Struthio camelus: one gene and its partner. The protein of the gene in region 1 purifies or fractionates together with the protein of each later gene. This does not show direct contact. Links are inferred from orthologs where the notes say so. Each region holds a gene or a part of one and is shown on either strand. Other genes may lie near its edges.

Region 1 (7,646 bases):
GCCCCACGGCTCGGCTCTGCTGCCACCCTGCGCCCCACGGTTCGGCTCTGCTCCTGCCCTGCACCCCACGGCACAGCTCTGCTCCTGCCCTGCGCCCCACGGTTCAGCTCTGCTGCTGCCCTGCGCCCCACGGCTCGGCTCTGCTGCCACCCTGCGCCCCACGGTTCGGCTCTGCTCCTGCCCTGCGCCCCACGGCTCGGCTCTGCTGCCACCCTGCGCCCCACGGCTCGGCTCTGCTCCTGCCCTGCGCCCCACGGCTCGGCTCTGCTGCCACCCTGCGCCCCACGGTTTAGCTCTGCTCCTGCCCTGCGCCCCACGGCTCGGCTCTGCTGCCACCCTGCGCCCCACGGTTCGGCTCTGCTCCTGCCCTGCGCCCCACGGCTCGGCTCTGCTGCCACCCTGTGCCCCCGGCACAGCTCCCCCCCCCCCCCCCGGTGGGCCCGCTGCCATCAGCCTGGGGCTGAGCCCCCGTGCTGCGGCTTGCGGCTGTGACTTCCCCTGCGCCGGCACGGCAGGCGCTCGGGTTCCTGTTTCCGTCTCCCCGCTCTGCTCCCGCGCCCGCACCGCTGGCCCGGAGCCCGGCAGCCCCGGCACCGCGGCGGTTATCGGCACGTCTCCCGGCGTCCGTGAGCGGAGCCGTTCCCGTCACCCTGCCGAGGTGGGGAGACGCCGGGCTGCACCCAACCCTTGGACCCCCCAGCGCGAGGTGCCCGCGGCGCCGTTGGGGTCCCCCACCCCGCACCGCCGGCCCGGCACTGGCAGCAGGCCGGTTTCGCTTCCCCCGCGGCGGGTGCCCGAAGGCCTCCCGCCGGGGCAGCCAGGCGGCACGGAGCCAGGAGGCCCCGGGGGCGGCGGGCGCCGCAGGTGCCGGGGCGGGTGCCCTGCTTCGGGGACAGCTCGGGTTTCCGGGGCCGCTCCGACGACGGCGCCAGGTGCTCCGGCCCCACCACCGGCGCGTTGTTTGGCGCCGTTTCCTTTCGGCTCGGCCGCGCCGCCCTCCCCTTTGGCTCCTGACCCGCGGCGACGGCGGGGGGGCTGCAGCACAACCCCTTGGCCCCCCCCGCCCCCCAGCCCGGCGGTAAGTCGCCCTGTGTGGCGGGGCGGCGGGGCAGCCCCCGGCCCGGCCCGGCCCCGGCGCCCGCGCGGGCAACGGAATCCCAAAAGCAGCTGTCCCCGCTGCGCCCAGCTGCCCTGGGATTTCGTTACCCGCGCCGCCGCCCCCGCCTCGGCCCCGCCGCCCCCGCCGCCCCGGCCCCTCTGCCCCCAGCGGCTGCGAGCTGGGAAAAAGGGGCGTCCGGCCCCCCCACCCCACCCCGGCCATGCCGGGGGCTCTCCGACAGGCCTGCCCCCCCCCCAACCTCGTGCCTCCCCGCCGGCTAAAGATAGCAGCTCGTTTCCTGGGGAGAAACCGCCGGAGCGAGCGTGCCGAGCGGCTGCCGGCCGCAGCGTGGATGTGGCCGCCGAGGGCCGGCGCGAGTCACGAGATGCTGCGCCGGCTTCCTGCCGCCGCCGCCGCCACCGCGCGGGGCTCTACCCCGGCCCGCGGTTTCTCCCCCCCAACACCCAGCGCCGGTGGGGCGGGAGGCGGCGTAGGGCAGGGCGAGCGGCACCCCGGTGGGATCCGGTCCCCCGAGAGACAGAGACGGCTTTGGAATGACACGATCACTCCCGCTGAGCGGGCAGCCGGAGAGCCATCGGGAATGTCGTGTCTGTCCAAAGCTTTTTCGGCGCCTCCGTGAGCCTCGCGTCGGGCACGCGGCCCGGCCCCCCCCCCGCCACCCCGGCTTTCGCAGGGCTGCTGCCGCGCCGCAGCAGGGAGCCGCGCGGGGACGGTGCCGCCGTGGGCCGGGACCCCCCAGCCCTGCAGGGCCGGGGACGGAGCCAGCCGACCCCCCCGCAGCGGCTCTGCCGGCGCAGCGGCCCGAGACGAGGTCCGAGCGCTTTCTCAGGCCGCGTCGGGGTGTGCCGCGCCGGACAGAGGCCCCGGGCGGCTCCTGCCCCGCAGACAGTCAGCAGTTGGTCTGGTGTGAGCAGCAAGTCTCAGATCACCTCTTGGCTGTGGGCGGCGCAGAGAGCACCCCCACCTCGGCCCGACCCCCGGAGACCCCGGAGCCGCGAGCGCGGGGGTGGCAGGAGGGAAGGGGCCCCCGCCAGCACGCGCCACGTAAACGCGGGCTGTGAAACGCCGCCGCGGAGGAACCGGGCTGTGCGGCGGGCAGCGAGACCGCCAAGGCGCGGCCTCCCATCCTTTCCGTCCACCTCCTTCCCCTCGGGGCTGATGAGCCGGCGGGGACGGCCCTTCCCCGAGCCCGGCGGGCAGCGTCACCCAGGCGGGACGGGCCGCTGCGTGGCCGAAGCCCCCGTCCTGCCCGCGGCCAGGCCGAGCGGCTCCCCTCGGAGGAGCCCCGGCCCCCGAGGCCGGTCCGCCGGCCGCTCAATAAAGCCCGTTTCCTGCCCGGCCCTCGCAGCCGCTCGTGTTTTTTTCCACGGCGCGGTTCAGCCCTCTTTCGGTTCCGCTCCCCGCCGCCCCCAGCGGGCTCGGCTCTGAGAGGCCGGGAGGGGAAGGAGCAGCCGCTGGGGCAGCGTTTCGGGGCAGGTTGAACTGCTGCCTGGGGAAGGTGCGTCCCTCCTGCTCCCAAACGCCCTGGCCAGGAGGGCCGGGCCTGGCGGGCGAGCGGCCGCCGGGGGCCGTGCAGGCCCCACCGGCTGCGCCACCGCTCTCCCGGGGGCTCGGTCACTGCGACCCGCCACACCCAGCATGGCCTCGCCGTGCTGCCCGCCACGCCCAGCATGGCGCCCCCCCCCCCCCCCGCCGCCACCGTTACCCCCAAGATGGCCGCCCGGCCCCGTCCAACCCACCCGCGCCCAAGATGGCCGCGCAGGCACGCTGCGCGCCGCGCCCAACATGGCGGCCGCCTTCCCGCCAGGCCCCGCCCGAGAAGGGGGGTGTGACGTCACGCCCCGGGGTCGACGGAAGCGGCCGGCGAGGGGAGCGCATGGAGGCGGGCGAGGGGAGGCCGGCGGTGGCGGCGACGCTGCGGGCCCTGAACGGCGCGCTGGGGCGGCCGGCCGCGCTCTGGCGGAAGGAGAGCGGCGCCCACCGCCTGCGGCACCGCGACTTCCTGGCGCCGCAGGCCGCGCTGCGGGCCGCGTTCGGCGGGGGGCAGGTAGGCCGCGGGGGCGGGGCCGGCCCGGGCGGCGGGGGCGGGGCCAGGCAGCGAGGGCGGGGCCGGCGCGCCGCAGACGAGGCCTACCTGGGCGGGGGTGGGGCCTGCTAGGCGGCAGGGGCGGGGCCAGGCATCGGGGGCGGGGCCGGCGCGCCGGAGACGAAGCCTGCCTGGGCGGGGGGCGGGGCCTGCCTGGGCGGGGGCGGGGCCAGAGAGGCAGGGGGAGGGGCCTTACCCAGCGGTTTCTCTCTGCCTTCATCCCCCCGTGTCTCTGGCAGGTGCCTGCTGACGTCATGGCGCGCGTGACGTCACTGTCGGGCCCGGAAGTGCTGCCGCTGAGTGGGTGCCAGGAGACAGTGGAGGGGCTGGCGGTGCAGGTGCGGCGGCCGGAGGCCTTCCGGCGGCTGCTGGGCCCCGGCCCTGCGCCGGCCCCACCGCCGGCCTCCCCGGCGCGCGTGGTGCTGCACTGCCCGGGCCTGCGCGGCCCCGCCGCCCTGCCGCCCCGCCGCCTCCGCCCCGTGCTGCTCGCCGACCACCTGGCCGAGGTGCTGCGCGCCCAGGGGTGAGTGCCGCCACCCCCCCCGCCGGCCCCACCGCCGCCGCCCCGCGGCCTCACCGCCACCTCCCTCCCTCTCCGTCGCAGGGCCAGCGTGCGCCTGGTGCCCGCCCTGGGCGACGAGCCGAGCCGGGAGGTGCTGCGGCAGCTCCGCGTCGCTTGGCCCTGCGGCCGCCCCGACCCCGGCGGCCCCGAGGCCATCGCCGCCCTGAAGCGGGCCCTGGCGCGGTCGCCCTACGTCGCGGCCGGCGAGCGGGGGGCCGGCGGCGCCGCTGCTGCCCTGCCCGAGGACGTCGTGGCTGAAGTGGACCTGCGGAGCTTCGTGGAGCAGCAGCACCTGGAGGGCTACGACCCCAACCTGGACGTCCTCCGGGGTGAGCGCCGTGGGCCGCTAGTGTGGCAGCACGGGGCGTGAAGGGCGGCACGGGAGTCCGTTTCTTTTTTTTAATTACCTTAACAAGAATAAGGAGCGTTTAGATGTAGACTGCCTTTCCTCGTTGTTCCCCTTCCACCTGCCGGGCTGGGGCAGGACGGAGCAGGGGTGCCGCGCGCCCTCGCTTCCCTCCCTGACTGTCCTTCCTCCTTTCAGTGACGGAGGAGAAGCTGCGGTGCCTGGCGGAGCTGCAGCAGGCCGTCCTGCAGTGCGCGGTGAGTAACCCCGCCGCCGCGCTGCCTGGCTCTCGCTTCCCGCCGGCGTTCCCTTCTGTCCCGCGCCGGCGTCCGAGCTCGCTGCTGTGCTCTGCTGCAGGCCGGCGGCCAGGCAGGCTGCTGCCACGTGGTGCACGTGCTGAGCTGCGAGGAGGAATTCCAGCAGCAGCAGATGGATCTGCTCTGGAGGATTTTGGATCCGGGAGCCCACACAGCTCTGCAGGTGAGGAACTTTCTGCCTTCTTCATCGTGGCCCCCAGTGTCCTCGGGCTGAGCCAGCTCTCCTGCCGTCCCTGCAGTGAATCCGAGGTCCAGCCTCGCCTCCTCGGGAGCCTTCCCTTCAGCCCTGCTGGCCCCTCCGCAGTCTTGCCCAGGCTGCGGAGCCCTTGGGACCTTAGTGCTGAAGAAGGAAGGGCAGGAGGGGATTGCAGGGGTGCAGGCAGAACCGGGCTGTTGACTGAACGCACCAGTGCACTTCAGCAGCTCCTGACTCTGTGTTCCCCTTTTCCTGTTTCCATAGCTGTGAGCAGAGGTTTCCCTGGCTGCTCTCCAGGTTCAATTCTTCTGGCACTGCATTTTAGTGCTGATACAGCTTCTAAGTCCTTGAGCCTAAGCCTGCTGTCTCATTTCTTTTTCAGAAACACCTTGTCTGTGGACCAGTGAAGATAGCAAAGCCCTCATCCCCCATTGGGGCAGACCAGTACTTCCAGTAAGTTGGTATTTAGCAAGGAGCTGGCTGTGTCACCCACCGACCAGGCTGCCTGGGCTCTGCTTTGGCCCTGCGGACACCCAGGAAGCTCTCTGAACAGATGAGCGTGCCGGAGGTTTAAGGAAGTTTCTGTGTGGTCCCAGCAGCCTTCCTCCGTTCCGCTTTTCTGCGGCTTCGTGGCTGTCTCTAGAGGCCTGGAGATCCACGGCAGGGGCAGGAGAGGGAAGACAACTGTTTTGCCCTCCTCGCTCTTAGTAGGCTCCTCTAGTTGGGCTGCCTCTGGCCCTGTTGGCACTGACTGCCGGGGGCTGTAGCTCTCCCCCTCCCCAGCAGCGCTGCTGGGAGGAAAGGCCGGGGCAGGAGCTAGGCCCCGTGCGGTGTGACCAGCCCCAGCAGCCCGAAGGCTGGGGGAGCCCTCGGGCCCTCTCTGGAGCAGGCTCGCCCTGGGGAGGCGGTGGTGGCTCTAACTGTCTGTGTTCCTCCCAGGCTCCGAAAGCGCCAGATGTACGAAGCCTCTGTGATGAAGTATGGGGAACTCGCACAAGGTGAGGGTTTGCTCCACACGTAGATGCTGCTTCCGCACTGCTCCCATAAGTCTCCCCCACCCACCCACCCACCCACCTCAGGGTCTCGTGGCTGCAGCCAGGAGGTCTCTCCCCTGGGAAGGAGCGGGGTTCTGACCTTGCTTGGGAGGAAGGTGTCTGAACCGTTGCACAGAAGGTCCCCTTCTCTCTGCTGCGAGAAGGGGCTAGGGAAGCGTGTTGGTTCCCAGCCCGCACTGGGGGGTTTCTGCCTGAGGGTGGCAGGTACGCGGGGCTGGAGCAAGCCGTGCTGTGGCCCCATTTGTGTTTTTTTGCAGACGAGGCCTGGACTGAGGTTATCGATGTCCTGACAGCGGCTGCCATCAGGTTTGAGATGCTGAGCACTGCCCACCGTAGTCAGGTAGGACAGGCCAGAGCTGCAACGGTCTGTGCAGAGCCGGGGGGCCTGTGAGCAGTGGGACATACCGCTCTTTGGGAGCTACAGCTCATGGCACAGGCTGAGGTCGGGCAGAAGCAGAGGGACAAGTAGCGACGGGGAGAGGGGAGGCGCTCTGTGGGCTCTGGCTGCCCTGGATTTGGGGCAGAGGGCTTTCCCATGGGCTGAAGCAAGCAGGTGCAGGCTGGTGTTCCTGCACCAGCAGCCAGCCCCGGTAGCCTGCACCCATCTGCCCAGGACGGGCCCAGGCTCAGCACACTGGTGGTCACGCTCTGCCTGCTGGGGAAGGCTCCGCTCCCCCAGCGAGAGGTGCAGGGACGTGCCAGGACCGGCTGTGTGCCGAGCAGCCTGGACCGCAGCCTCTCTCTTCCCTCAGATCGTTCTGGACCTGGAGGACAGCAGCATCTCCACAAAGGGAACCAAGAGCGGCGCCTTCGTGATGTACAACTGTGCCCGGCTGGCCACGCTCTTCGACACCTACCAGCGGGCTGTGGAGCGGGGTGAGCCCTAGCCCACCGGGCCCTCTCCCTAAGCAGCGACTCTGGGGCTGTTCCTCACGGCTGCGTGGGGATGGGGTTGTTCCTGGAGCCCCACAACCGCCTCAGCAGCGACTCTGCCAGAGGCAGGAGGCTGATGGCCTGACGGGGCTCCAGTGCAGCAGTCCCCTGGGCTGTCCCTGCAGCAGGGAGACCCCAGGGCTCCCAGCACCGGGGCTGCTATGCGCACAGCAGCCATCTCTCGCCTCCTTCCCAGGCACATACCCACCCTTGCCGCCAGCATCAGAACTGAACTTCTCCTGCCTCCGGGAAGAGGTGAGTGCTGAGGGACGGAGGCTGCAGGGAGCTGTGTGCCCTCAGCTCCGGAGGATCGGAGGATCGATGCTTCTGGCCCAGGGGGATCCGGCCCTCTCGGACACACCGAACCCTTTCACAGGGCGAATGGCTCCTGCTCTTCAACTATCTCCTGCCCTTCCCCGAAGTCTTGCAGCAGGCAGCACAGCTGCCCTCACCCAGCAAGGGGATCCGGATCACAGCCAGCGCAGAGACGGTAAGTACCACGTGCCGGAGCACCCATGGGTGCTGCTCTCACAGCCCCAGCCTGGGGCAAGGCTGCACCCTGAAGGGTGCTGCCCGCCGGTATGCAACACCGGGACAGTGCTGAGGGGCTTCCCTGGGACGAGACTGTGACACTGCGAGTGCTGTTTGGTGTGGGGGAGACGACCCAAGAGCAGACCCTGCAGTGCCGACACTAGCTCTCCGTGTTGCAGGTGTGCAAATTCCTGATCCAGCTCAGCATGGATTTCAGCTCCTACTACAACCGTGTCCACATCCTGGGGGTGAGTCAAATAGCCCAGGTGACTTGCTGAAGGGGGGGCAGCGCTGCAGCCCTCCCAGGGGGCTACACTAGCCCAGGCTGCGGAGGCCTTCCCGTGGGGCTGGGCTGCCACGAGCAGGCTTCTGCGTGCCAGCAGCAAGATAAGAGGCTGGGGCAGGGCTCTGAGGCCACGTCAGCAGGGTGAAGAGGCAGCGATGCCTCTGGGGCTAAGGGGGACTGTGGCCACCAGCCCCCACATTGCTGCCTTTCTCCC
Region 2 (6,592 bases), on another chromosome or scaffold:
CAGTTTGAAACCTCCGTTTTTAACCCCACTCTCACCTTTGAAGCTTCTCCTACAGCACCGGTGACAGCAGCAGGGCCGTGAAGGCTCTCAGCGCCCTTGCCTTGCCCTCACCGCCTGGCTGCCCTGCTCCCCAAAGCAGGCTGCAGCACCAAGGGACAAGGCCCCGCACGTGCCTCGGGCGGCAGAGCCGTGAGCCAGGGACGGGCAGGGCTGGGAGAGCCGAGCTCCGGGCAGGCGCCCAAAAGCACTAGGGTGCTTTCAGCACACGGAGCTTGGCCCAGCTCAGCCCCGAGCCAGCTGCCAACAGCAAGGGCCACAGTGAAGCGAGCGCCTGCCCCTCGCAGAGGGACGGGCACCAAGGCCCTGCAAGCCTGCTCCATACCAGGACCTCTCCCTGCCCCAGACACGTGCTTGGGACAGCACAAACAGGGAAGAGAGTAGCAAGCGCTCCCCAAGAGCGCTGACGCTTCTCCCAGAGGGACACGGAGAGAGCTTCTTCGGGAACATGCAAGACATCTCGTATCGGTGTGGTTTTAATAGCAGAAGCTCAAACACACGGTCAACAACAAATGCAGCTGACAGACAGCACCGCATCGGGGGAAACCGAAATCCAGAGCGAGGCAGGGCTCTGCCAAGCTTCAGACATAATACTGCAAGCCGAACTTCTCGTTGTCCATCTCGCTGGCCGGCCGCAGGTAGTAGAGCTCGTCTAACGTCGGGGGGACCCAGCGGTCGGTGTGAAACACGGACTCTCCAACCTGGAGAGCGAGAGAGCCGGTGAACAGGCCGCGCCAACGCGAGTGCTCGGCCTTCGCCAGGGAGAGCCCGCGCTCCGACCGCACGCGGGCGAGCGGCTGTGCCGGTCCACGAGCTCCAGAAACAGCTACCTCCGGGCAAGTTAACTTCCCGGTCAGGTCTACGTTGATGATGTCAAATATGAGCCGCTCCCAAGGGAGCCCTCGCAGGTGTCCAACGGACCCATCAGGGCACAAGGCCACAACAGGAGCCCCAACATCCACGTGCTGCACCCCACAAGCCTTGATTTCTTGTGCAGGCTGCTGAGACCCCCAGCCCCCGCCGTGAGCAGCGGGAAGGCCGTCTCCCCGCGCCTCGCACCCCACGCCGGCACGGCTCAGCTCCACCACTCAGTTTGGCCTCTTTTGCTCTCGTTACCACCTGATAAACCTGGCAGGACACCTGGGTCCTGGGAGATTTCTTCAAGCACAGATGATCTGAGCTTGCAGAGCAAACACAAGACAGACCAAAACCCACCCGAGGGGCCAGTTCCTCGCCCGGTAAGAGACGCTGCTTTGAGGGACAGCGCAGGGCAGATCCCAGCGCTCCTCCATTCACTGCCCCTTTGCTGCCTGCTCTGGCCCCTTTCTTGTGGCGTCTGCGAGTTACAAACCTGCCACCCAGGAACGTCCTTCATGATTTTGGCCTCCTCGTCCAGGTTCTGCCGTAGCAGACGAAGGGTCCTGTAACAGCGGGAAAGGTTGTCCCCCGATCGCGAAACCGCGTGTGCAGCACGCTGTGCGGGGAGTTAAACCTCAACCAAGCCGCAGCCCCCACGTCTATTCTCCAGAGACCACGCGACGGTCCCTGGCTAAGCAAGAAGCCAGCGCTGCTTTCCACCTAGACTGAGAAAGCCACAGAGGGCAAGAGCTGCGCTGGGAGACCGTCAGCAAACCCCGCTCGCTCTCCAGGGCGGACGCCGGGCTTCGCGCAAGCGGCGAACGCAGACCCACGGCGGGTGAACAGCCCACCTGAGGCCGTAGAGACCTGGGGAAGGGCTTGGGACCCCTCCCGCGCCCCCCCCCCACCCGCTCCGGCAGGGCAGCGCAGCCCTCGGGGCCGGCCCCGGCCCCGCTCGTGCTCCGACAGCGGCGGGAGACCCCAGCCCGCCCCCCCCCCTCCATGGGCACCTTGGGGACGACCCAGGGCATCGCCCCGCTGCCAGCCAGCGTCCCCCCCCGTCCCCGGCACCTGCGGTCCGACTCCGCCTGCAGCAGCGGCATCAGGGCGATCCGCGCCTCCAGGTCCTCGATGAGCAGCCGCCTGCAGCAGGATGGGGCCGGGTCAGAGCTGCCGCCTCCCCCATTGCGGTATGGGGGGGGGGGCGAAGCACCCCCGGGGGGGGCCCAGGAGTCCCGGGTTGAGGGGGTGGGGAGGGGTCTGAACCACCTGCGCTCCCGGTTCCACTTGACGATGGTGTAGTAGCCCAGCAGGAGGCTGCCGATGCCCAGCGCGAAGAGGCTGTAACCTGCGGAGAGCGGCGGCTGCAGCAGCGGCGGCGCCGCCCGAGGGGCCCAGGCGTCCGAGGGGCCCAGGCGTCCGAGCCCTCTCCCCCCCCCCCAACCCGAACGCGGCTCCCGAGCCCTTCCCGGCCGGCGGGACCCGACTCCCCAGCGCCCAGGCCGCCCCCTCCGGCCCCGGTACCTGAGAGGCCGCGACGCGGCAGGTGCCGTTTGTAGTCGACGGGCCCGTAGCCGCCCGGCGGCGGCATGTCCTGCTTCACCTTCGGCGCCGCCATCTTGGCGGCCGCCGCGCCGCCCTGCGTCACGTCCGCCGGCGCGCTCACGTGACTACCCCCCCCCACACACACACACACCCGGCCCGCCTTAAAGCGGCAACGCCAGGTGATGGGACCCACCCGCCGGTGCCGCCGCGAGGGGTCGCCGCGAGCCTGGGCGCGGACCCTGCACCCCCCCCCCAACCCCACCGGGCACCGCCGGGACCGGGCACCGATCCTGCACAGAGATCCCCGTGCATGCGTGCCCGGTCCTGGTGCACGCACCGTGCACCCCCAGTACCTGTGCACACCGGGCACCGATCCTGCACACCGCCCGTGCATGCACCGTACTGGTGTGTGTGTCCAGTCCTGGGGCACCCTCCATACAGGTGAATGCACCCTCCCGTGCACCCCCGGCACCAACGCGTGCACCTCACACTCTCCCATGGACTGCCAGTACCAGTGCATGCACCCCGCACCCTCCTGTGCACCCCCAGCACCAACGCAAGCACCCCGCACCCTCCTGTGCACCCCCAGCATCAATGCATGGACCCTGCACCCTCCCATGCACCCCTGGCACCCACGCATGCACCCCACACCCTCCTGTGGACCCCCAGCACCAGTGCATGCACCCGGCACCCTCCCGTGCACCCCCCAGCACCAGCACGCAGATCCTGCACACCACTGCATGCTCCACATCCCCCCCACCCTCCGTACACGCTCTGCACAGGGGCGCCCGGACACCTGGGTCCGCTGCCAGGCCCGGTGCTGCAGGGCAGCGTCGGCGTGGGCAAGAAGCACGTAAGAAAACCCCCAGAGAGGTCGACATGAAAGCGCGCAGAGCAGGGGCTTTCCCGCCTCGCCCCGGCAGGCTCGACGCCTCTGCGGGGCCTGGCCCAGCGCCAGCAGCTGCCAGGGCCTTGGCGGAGGGGCCCGGCGCATCCCAGAGCCCGGGCACTCGGGCCGAGCCGCGTGCCCGAGGGAGGCGAGCGGCGAGCCTGGCACCCACCGGCACACACCTGCAGGCAAGCGGGCACCCGCAGCGCGCTTGCACCGAAGCCGGGGCGCTGCGAGCCCCCAGCCAGTGCTGAGCGCCTGCCCCAGCACTCATTAAAGCAATTACCCGCTCCCCATTCGTTTTTACTCCCCGCCGCTTCCCCAAGCATCCCGCAGCTCACTAAGCCGTTGAACGCGGCAGATCGAGGTCACTGCTGTCTTAGACCCCGATTAGAGCTGTAATCCCTCGGCTCCCTCGCGCCGAGCGCTGCAGATGGCCAAGGCCGCGCGGGCAGACGGCGGAAACGGCACGCGGGAGCGTGGGGACACGGTTGCATTGGCCCTGGGAAAAGCCAGCAGCAAGAGCCGTCCCTGCCGGCAGCAGGTCCCTGCTGTCCCAAGCGCCTCCGATTTGCCCCAAAATGCTGGTGGTGGGGCAGGAGCTCCCCGCGCGGGGTCCTGCGAGCAGCCCCGGGGCACCTGAGCCCTCGCCCGCATCGCCGGGCAGCAGCCAGGGCAGAGCCGCCGGCTGGAGCTCCTCCTGCTCCTTTTGCTGCAGCCTCAGCTCCCTCCGCAGAGCCTGCGCCCGGCTCCCGCCGCGAGCTCCCTCCTTCCCTGGCTGCTAGCGCCGCTGAGCTGCCCTAGCTCGGCAGGGCCCGTGTGAGCCGGGCAGCTCACTCCTCATCTCCCTCTGCTGGCTCGGATTTCGTCGCTGCTGCACATCAGACCCCAGAAGTAACCGTAAAGAGGACAAAGGACGGGCAGAAGCACGGCTGCATGGGATGCACGGGGCGCGCGGCTGGGGCTGGCACCCCGTATCCAGCCTCCTGCGCAGCCCCAGCTCCCTCCCGCCGGGCACCAAACCCCAGCCTCGTCCCTGCTCCCAGCGACGAAACCACGGCCAAGCTGAACTGGTGCCAGCCCTCCGGCAGCACCCAGCAAACGCGGAGGAGCGACTCTCCCTGGAGCAGCCTCCGCGGCAGCAAGGCCCCGGCCCCGGCCACGTTCCCACGCTCCGGCTCCTTTTCTCCCCTTCCTGTGTGGTCCCTTAATAACTTCCAAGGGTGCCGGGTGCTGCCGGATCAGGCTCTGAACATCCCCTCGCGCCGGGACTCTGATGTTTTTTTTTTTCCCCTTTGAGGAAACTCCTGCCCCGGGCAGCCGCGGCATCGGCCTGCTGCTCCGCCGCAATCTCGGACCGATACGGATCTCCCCCTCCCTTTGTTTCCCCCACTCAGGCTGAGCACCAGAGGAGATGCAAAACCGTCACTAGCTCATGATTAAGCTCACAGAGCTCATGAGCTAAGACAGGAAGGTGTGGAGGGGACGAGAGGACAGAGCAGGGCTTTCGAGCTGGTGCGAGGACGCAGCCTAACGGGGACAGCGCCGATAGCGAGACCACGACACGCTCCGGGAAGGGGATTCCTCTTGCACGTCGGCCGTCCCGGGTGCAGTTTGGAGGAGGAAAAAAAACCCGGACAAACAAGAGATGTGTTTCCTGTGCTAGCCAAATCGCAAAACTTGCTGAAAGGCGGTGCCCGACTCTGCAGCAGACGGCAGCGGGAAGGGTCTGAGTTCAGGGTCTTTAACACCGACCTGGAGCTTTTTCTACTGAAAAATTACCCTAACAAAAGCTGGCAGGACTGTCCCCTCACATGCATTCGGGGAGGGACGGTTATTCAGGTTTTCTACATGTAATTAGACCACAGTTTTTTGGGCAGGGACTGACCCTCGCAGGTAGGAGGGTGAACCCCTCCCAAGAGTGGGCAGGAGGGGAAGGGAAAAATAGAGAGATCCGTCAACTCATTTAAAATGAGAAAAAACACACCTTCCTTTCTCAAACCAAAGCCCCCAGTTGCCGGCAGAAAGCAAGGTTTCTGTGTGTTAGAGCATTAACTCTGGCCAGAACTCTACTACAAGTTGAGCTTTTAAAAGGGAGCTAAATGTTGAGCCAGACTCAGCAGCAGGGAGAATCTAGGCCAGGCCTCCGCCGTGTAAATGCACCCCTGGATGTTTCGCACCTCATACAGCACCGTGCTAATTGCCAAAAGGTGCAAGTCTATGCATCGGTTTTTCCTTCCACTTCCCCAGCTTACAGGAGCCCACGAGCCCATCCAAGCACCAGGTGCCCCGCTGCCTCGGCGCGCGGACAGCCAAACCTGCAGGACGCGGCCCGGAGGCCCGCGGAGGTGCTAGCGCAGGCGGCGCTCGCAGGACCAGGACTGCGCCGTCCTCGCAGCCCCTTCCCCACCGAGCGCAGGGCAACTCCGAGCACTGGCTGCCTCGAGCTCAGGTGACAAACACGCTGCCGAACGCCAGGGCTGGGGTTTACAGAAATAACTTCATTTCTGCACTGCAGCAACAATGAGCGTATTCAATGAGGTTCCCATCTACTACCTGAGCCCCTAAGCCGTGATTTACCGTCTTCTAGGCCTACCAAATCTTTTGTTTTTCCCTAGGAACTTTAGAAGTCCTATTGAACAGCCCCATGCAGCCTGAAGCGAGAACGAGCGAGATGTGTTTGCATAGCATGCCGCGTGCTTACCAAACAGACTTCATTAGTTAGCAAAACAGAAGGGTCAAACATAACACTTTTGTATAAATATTTAAGGGTAAGTTGTTACTTTGGATTTATTTTTTCCTACCTTCACTTAAATCCTTCCCGGTGAAAGAGGTCAAGGGAGGGTCTGGGGATGCGGACGGGGCTCGAGCAGCTCCTGGGCCCTTTCGGCGGGGCTCAGCCCCTCCCTCCTCCGAAAGCCTTCAAGGACCAGACTTCAAGGAGTTGCTCTTTTCCCTCCAGGATGATTGCCAGCGGGAAGAACATCTGACAGCAAACGCGTTGAGTGCTTTCCTACTTTTAAGTGCAACTTAAAAGCAAGGCTGTATTACTGCAAAAAGGGAACAGAAAGAAAAGCTGGTTTGCTTTTCAGAAGCAGGAGCTGGCTGCAGTAAGGGCTGCAGATAAGAGTTTGCAAGCTCGGTTAGCTTTACGTCGCCGCGAAAGGAGAGCGGCCGCCTCTTCGTGCACCTTGTCTCTGCCCGGCGGAGTTTACAGCCTGCTCAAAATCTTGGACGGCTTAA

What was found.
Region 2: the proteins of NDUFAF3 (region 1) and NDUFA13 purify together in Homo sapiens (co-immunoprecipitation; 3 studies listed by BioGRID and IntAct, with this or other methods). This does not show direct contact. The link is inferred for Struthio camelus from reciprocal best matches to the Homo sapiens genes NDUFAF3 and NDUFA13.

Annotation. Positions count from the first base shown.
Region 1 is NC_090955.1:10,148,585-10,156,230, forward strand, and holds the start of NDUFAF3 (NADH dehydrogenase [ubiquinone] 1 alpha subcomplex assembly factor 3), read right to left. Parts: upstream 2,999-7,646; coding exon 2,826-2,998; intron 1-2,825. Other genes in the region: DALRD3 (DALR anticodon-binding domain-containing protein 3), read left to right, coding at 2,997-3,167, 3,446-3,729, 3,811-4,097, 4,313-4,371, 4,472-4,594, 5,010-5,080, 5,567-5,625, 5,940-6,022 and 4 more. UniProt on the Homo sapiens protein: Essential factor for the assembly of mitochondrial NADH:ubiquinone oxidoreductase complex (complex I).
Region 2 is NC_090967.1:6,475,510-6,482,101, reverse strand, and holds NDUFA13 (NADH dehydrogenase [ubiquinone] 1 alpha subcomplex subunit 13), read right to left. Parts: upstream 2,619-6,592; 5' UTR 2,534-2,618; coding exon 2,440-2,533; intron 2,264-2,439; coding exon 2,185-2,263; intron 2,059-2,184; coding exon 1,987-2,058; intron 1,479-1,986; coding exon 1,409-1,478; intron 759-1,408; coding exon 639-758; 3' UTR 516-638; downstream 1-515. UniProt on the Homo sapiens protein: Accessory subunit of the mitochondrial membrane respiratory chain NADH dehydrogenase (Complex I), that is believed not to be involved in catalysis. Complex I functions in the transfer of electrons from NADH to the respiratory chain.